2 linked regions of the Macaca fascicularis genome follow. The protein of the gene in region 1 purifies or fractionates together with the protein of each later gene. This does not show direct contact. Links are inferred from orthologs where the notes say so. Each region holds a gene or a part of one and is shown on either strand. Other genes may lie near its edges.

The links.
Region 2: the proteins of CSTF3 (region 1) and CSTF2T purify together in Homo sapiens (co-immunoprecipitation; 4 studies listed by BioGRID and IntAct, counting the BioPlex papers as one, with this or other methods). This does not show direct contact. The link is inferred for Macaca fascicularis from reciprocal best matches to the Homo sapiens genes CSTF3 and CSTF2T.

Annotation. Positions count from the first base shown.
Region 1 is NC_088388.1:32,495,954-32,498,836, forward strand, and holds the end of CSTF3 (cleavage stimulation factor subunit 3), read left to right. Parts: intron 1-981; coding exon 982-1,076; intron 1,077-1,196; coding exon 1,197-1,257; intron 1,258-1,675; coding exon 1,676-1,878; 3' UTR 1,879-2,379; downstream 2,380-2,883. UniProt on the Homo sapiens protein: One of the multiple factors required for polyadenylation and 3'-end cleavage of mammalian pre-mRNAs.
Region 2 is NC_088383.1:94,861,453-94,865,297, forward strand, and holds CSTF2T (cleavage stimulation factor subunit 2 tau variant), read left to right. Parts: upstream 1-738; 5' UTR 739-784; coding exon 785-2,662; 3' UTR 2,663-3,106; downstream 3,107-3,845. UniProt on the Homo sapiens protein: May play a significant role in AAUAAA-independent mRNA polyadenylation in germ cells. Directly involved in the binding to pre-mRNAs.

The sequences.
Region 1 (2,883 bases):
TTAGATCCAGTACTGAGACCTCGGTTTGTTTGTTGATTTAAATCCAAAGTGTGGGGGTAAAGTGACATGGCCTCTCAATTGTGGGTTAATTATTAGACTTAGGGTCACTATGACAAGTGATTTAGCTTTAATCTTTGAAACAGATTAACTAAGAATGTCCTAAAAACAAAACTTCAATGATCCAGATTCCAGGAACCCATTTTGGCAGTAATACTTGGTTTTCAGAAATGCTGCTATGCCCAGGTGCAGTGGTTTACGCCTGTAATCCCAGCACTTTGGGAGGCCAAGGCAGGTGGATCAGCTGAGGTCAGGAGTTCAAGACCAGCCTGACCAACATGGTGAAACCCTGTCTTTACTAAAAATACAAAAATTTTCTGGGCATGGTGGCACACGCATGTAATCCCAGCTACTTGGGAGGCTGAGGCAGGAGAATCACTTGAACCCAGGAGGCGGAGGTTGCAGTGAGCCCAGATCTTGCTATTGCACTCCAGCCTGGGTAACAAGAGCGAAACTCTGTATCAAAAAAAAAAAAAAGCTTAACAGCTTTTTACCTGAACAGCTGGAAACTTTCTTCACTGATACAATTTGGTTTCTTTACTTACTAATGGTTAGTAGCCTCTCTAGATTCTTTTTGAAGAAAGCCCTTCTGATTAAATATGCTGTTGAATAATTGACTTGAAAAAGGATTGCTAAACAAATGACTTGTGTAACTCAGAAACAGTCTTTGACAAAAACTGACTTTAGTTCAGTCCCCAATTGTCTTATACAAAGTCACTTGTCTACTTCTCTGCCTCGCAGTGGCCATGGCATTGAGACTGCTCTGTCTCACCCACTTTGGTTTGGTAAAGCCCTAAAAGTATTTTCAGTGTCCAGAACAAAGCAGCATAGACATGGAAGATCTTTATGTGCAAGTCACTTGATTTTAGCTCTGTGTAGAAATTCTTCCATCCCACTTGATTCATACTTTTCTTTTTCTCACAGCTCCAGGCTTACACCCTGTACCTGGTGGAGTGTTCCCAGTCCCTCCTGCAGCTGTTGTTTTAATGAAACTTCTCCCTCCTCCTATCTGTTTCCAGGTTTGTTCACTTATTTTCACGGTAGATACTGGCTCTGTGGGTTACAGTAATTATGTATAAAGTTACTGCTATTTTAACTTGTCAGATTACTGGGATTAAAATTTATTCATGTCAAAATAGGGTCCTTTCGTACAAGTGGATGAACTGATGGAAATTTTCCGAAGATGCAAGATACCAAATAGTAAGTAACAGAAAATCCATTTCAGAGTGTCATTCCACATTGTTGTCTCATAAGCCGTAGAGATTATTATTCTCTGCCACTGAAGTTTTTGAAACCAGCCAGCCAATTTGAAGTACAGTGAAACCCAGGAGTTACCCAAACCCTCTTTGGCAGAGAGAGGCTTATTCATACTGAATTCCACTAAGTAAAATGTCATAAAAGTTTATCTTTTCTATTCATGTGAACATGTACTTTGGCTTATTAAAATTATTAGTTTTAACAGCAGCTTTTGTCTTTTTCTTTCATTATTTAGTATCAGTAGTACTATTCCATGTTTTGCTAAATTAGTAGGCTATGAAATGAACTATAAAGTGTCCACAGTTGAACATACATACCCTTTCATAGTGGAATATGTTTTTACGTTTTGTTGTTTTAACAGCTGTTGAGGAAGCTGTGAGGATCATTACTGGTGGGGCCCCAGAGCTAGCTGTAGAAGGCAACGGCCCTGTGGAAAGTAATGCAGTACTCACCAAGGCCGTCAAAAGGCCCAACGAGGATTCAGATGAAGATGAAGAAAAGGGAGCCGTTGTCCCCCCTGTTCATGACATTTACAGAGCACGGCAGCAGAAGCGGATTCGGTAGGGCTTAAACGCCTCTGCAGAAAACTCCTGTCCAGGATTCCTTTTGCCTCAAGTCGTATGTTTAAAAGAGACAACGCTTTGTTACAAGGTTCTTGGAAACAAAGTTGTATTGTCATTGGTGCCTCTATCATATGGTTCTTGAGAAAAACAAACCAACCTGTGTGAATTTTAGAATATGGAACAGACCTATGCTCTAAGCAAAATTAGGTTTTCAAAAATGTGAGAACAATACAAAATGGCAGAACCACATTTTGTTCCCTCTTCAAGGGTGTCTTGTATGTGCCGCTTGAAGATTTGTGAGTTTTTCAACAGTTTTATTTTAAAAACTGGATGGCTTATGATTGTAAAGCATTTTATCACATTTTCTGAAAACAATTGTTCTTGGTTTGCTTATGTAGAGTCCTGCCTTATTGTTTGTTTTTATTTATGGCAGAATGTATGAAATCCGTTTTGTAGTTTGAAATTTTAAAAGTCCTTTGAAAAATAAAAGGATTCAGAAACATCATGCTTCCTCTGCTCCTTTCAGATTTTATTTACAATAACTACCTGTTTTATGTTATTTATCCAATACCATTTAAAAATAAAGTCAGTACAAGGAAAAGTCATCTTGTATTTACTAAATGTATTAATCACATACTCTTTCCTGGTCTTTTTTGGTGCTAACTAAAAACATTTTTTTTTGTTTTTTTGAGATGGAGTCTTGCTCTGTTGCCCAGGCTGGAGTGCAATGGCCGGTTCTCAGCTCACTGCAAGCTCCGCCTCCCGGGTTTACGCCATTCTCCTGCCTCAGCCTCCCGAGTAGCTGGGACTACCGGCGCCCGCCACCTTGCCTGGCTAGTTTTTTTGTATTTTTTTAGTAGAGACGGGGTTTCACCTTGTTAGCCAGGATGGTCTCGATCTCCTGACCTCGTGATCCACCTCAGCCTCTACCATTTTAGAAATCCTCAAATATGAATGCATTTGCTCCCCAGTAAATCTGAGGCAGATTAAGATCCTGTTAATACTT
Region 2 (3,845 bases), on another chromosome or scaffold:
TTAAGGAAGAAAACCGTAATATTAGGAATAGCACGACTGCTGCCCGTGTGCTCAAAAAAACCTAGAAGGGTCTGCCACCCATCCATTAACAGCGGTTATAGGAAGCAACAGAGCGGGGGCAGGGTCCAGCAGGCACACGCTTCAGTTTATATTTCTTGTCAGTTAATTTCCAAAAACGTTGTTCTAAAAAGGAAATATAATACTGTTTTACTTTAAGGGGCAAATCTCAAATGTGCTTTGAAACGACTACGCTTTTGCCTCAGTCTGGAATGTGATTTGAAATCTAGCTTAACTATACTATAATAAAAGGCCACATGAAAATACTTTGTCAGAACGAAAAACATGCAGCCTTAAATCCGCTTTCGGTTGGCGGTTTCCCGCCGGTGGAACGGAAGCAAAACCGCCTTTGACGTCAAGGGAGGAGTCCCCTCCCAGTTACTATGGTGAAGTCTATGCGGCCATCTTTACTGTGGTCATCTCGCACCAAGGGTGTCGTAGCGGGGCTGTTGGGGCTCCACAGAAAGTCGGCGGAAGGTGAAATGGGAAAGGAATCATGCGACTCTGTAATAAGAAGCTGACAGAACCACGAAGGATCAGGGACTTAAAGCATTAGATAACTTGTTAGTGGGATGCAGGTTCCACAGGCAAGCAGAACGATTCAAGCGAATTAGTAAGGTTTCTGCCCGGATCTTGAGAGCCGCTTCCGTTGCTCAGCGGAAGTGTCGGTCGCAAGAGGACAGACGCCTGGAAGAATCCGCTATCGGCAGTGTGCACAACCGGAATCATGTCGAGTTTGGCGGTGAGAGACCCGGCAATGGATCGATCACTGCGTTCCGTGTTCGTGGGGAACATTCCGTATGAGGCAACTGAGGAGCAGTTAAAGGACATTTTCTCGGAGGTTGGTTCTGTTGTCAGTTTCCGGCTGGTATACGATAGAGAGACGGGAAAACCCAAGGGCTATGGCTTCTGCGAATACCAAGACCAGGAAACCGCGCTTAGTGCCATGCGGAACCTCAATGGGCGGGAGTTCAGTGGCAGAGCGCTTCGGGTGGACAATGCTGCCAGTGAAAAGAATAAGGAGGAGTTAAAGAGCCTCGGGCCTGCAGCGCCCATTATTGACTCACCCTATGGGGATCCCATCGATCCAGAAGATGCCCCTGAATCGATTACCAGAGCAGTAGCCAGTCTCCCCCCGGAGCAGATGTTTGAGCTGATGAAGCAGATGAAGCTCTGTGTCCAAAACAGCCACCAGGAAGCTCGAAACATGTTACTTCAAAATCCACAACTGGCTTATGCGCTGTTGCAGGCGCAAGTAGTGATGAGAATCATGGATCCAGAGATTGCTCTGAAAATTCTTCATCGGAAGATACATGTCACACCACTGATCCCAGGCAAATCTCAGTCTGTGTCTGTCTCTGGCCCTGGCCCTGGCCCTGGTCCTGGCCCTGGCCCTGGGCTCTGCCCAGGACCTAATGTTCTGCTGAACCAGCAGAATCCACCAGCTCCTCAGCCTCAGCATTTGGCTAGAAGACCTGTGAAGGACATTCCTCCTCTGATGCAGACTCCTATCCAGGGTGGAATTCCAGCTCCAGGGCCAATACCAGCTGCAGTTCCCGGACCTGGTCCTGGTTCCTTAACTCCTGGAGGAGCAATGCAGCCCCAACTTGGAATGCCAGGGGTTGGCCCAGTGCCTTTAGAGCGGGGACAAGTGCAGATGTCAGATCCTAGAGCTCCTATACCTCGTGGACCCATGACTCCTGGTGGTCTACCTCCTCGAGGACTGTTAGGAGATGCTCCAAATGACCCACGTGGAGGGACTTTGCTTTCAGTCACTGGAGAAGTGGAGCCCAGAGGTTATCTGGGTCCACCCCATCAGGGTCCCCCCATGCATCATGCCTCTGGTCATGACACTCGTGGCCCTTCCTCACATGAGATGAGGGGAGGGCCATTAGGAGATCCCAGACTGCTAATTGGAGAGCCCAGAGGCCCCATGATAGATCAAAGGGGTCTACCTATGGATGGTAGAGGTAGTAGAGATTCTCGAGCGATGGAGACTCGCGCCATGGAAACTGAGGTCTTAGAGACACGTGTAATGGAGAGGAGAGGAATGGAGACCTGTGCCATGGAAACCAGAGGGATGGAAGCAAGAGGCATGGATGCAAGAGGATTGGAGATGAGGGGCCCTGTCCCCAGTACAAGAGGTCCTATGACTGGTGGAATTCAGGGTCCTGGTCCCATTAATATAGGGGCAGGTGGCCCTCCTCAGGGACCCAGACAGGTCCCAGGCATTTCAGGGGTGGGGAATCCTGGAGCTGGTATGCAGGGTACAGGCATACAAGGAGCAGGCATGCAGGGAGCAGGCATGCAGGGAGCAGGCATGCAGGGGGCAGGCATACAAGGAGGAGGGATGCAGGGGGCAGGCATACAAGGAGTGGGTATACAAGGAGGAGGCATACAGGGGGCAAGCAAGCAAGGTGGAAGCCAGCCTAGCAGTTTTAGTCCTGGGCAGAGCCAGGTCACTCCACAGGATCAGGAAAAGGCGGCTTTGATCATGCAGGTTCTTCAACTAACTGCAGATCAGATTGCCATGCTGCCCCCTGAGCAAAGGCAGAGTATCCTGATTTTAAAGGAACAAATCCAGAAATCCACTGGAACTTCTTGAAAGATTTTAGAAAATATTTGGCTGTAGTCTCAAAGTTTATTCTGTAGCATGGAGAATGGGTGCAAAAAGCTGACTTCTGCATCCCCACACTTGGATTAGGGTTTCCCTCCTCCTAGAACCTAATCTTACTTTTTGTTCTTTTTATTTCTTTCTGTTTTCCTTTTTTATTTTTAATTGAGGGTGGGGGGAGGAGGGAGTGTGTCTGTTCACTTTAAGTTACTGTAAAATAACTCTGAACATGACAACATTATGCCAAATAAGATTACAAAGAATAAGCAGCAATATTGAAGTGTCTACAGTATGTTAACTACATTTTTTAAATGTTGAGTAAAACTTTGTGAAAACTGCTCATAAAGACTAAAAGTTGACCTGTTAAAACGTTAATGTACTAAGATGGTTTTAAGATTTTTGGTTGTATAACAAAATAAAGTTTACCCAAAAGTATAAGACACATTTTTTGGTAAACCATTTAAAATACAAAATCCTATTGGAGGCAATAGGATAAGCATTGTCTTAGTGTTTTAGAATTATTTTTGAAATATTAGAGTTAACAGGATAAGGTTAAACTTGTATTAGAATTGTTTTTTTCTAAAGTTGTGTTACCTGAAAAATCAAGGAGTACACCTGGTTTACTGTTGCTTCATTTATCCCAGCCTTCAGAGACCAGCAAGGTTCTGCCAGGCCCCAAGCATCAGAGCATGTTGATTTTGCTGTGACAATTCTAAAATCAACCAGGTTACTTAAGTCCACTCTGATGAAACCCTATCTCTCAATACCTTCCAATTTCTCAATAGTCTTTAAGCCCTAAATCTGAGTCAGTAATTCTCTCACATCCTTCCCAAAAATCAGTGTCTAGGGACCAGTTGATCTGGATGAGTTATACATGATATTTGACTTTTCATAAGTAGTAGGTTTCACTAAGTAAACTCTCAGTTTCTTGGTATCTGGCTTTCATATACAGATGGTGTCCATTTGCTCCACCAGACAGAAGTTAAAAACCTTTAGACTAAACAGCATTTAACATGCCTTTTAGTTTTCTTATTTCATAATCTACTTTTCTATCATTAATCATGTTACCAGAATAATCAAGGCCCAAGTAGGTAGAAGTTTTTATATAGCCTGAATACTCAGTTGACTTATTGCTTATTTTACTTTTTGTAAGGAATACAGCCATTTAGTCCTA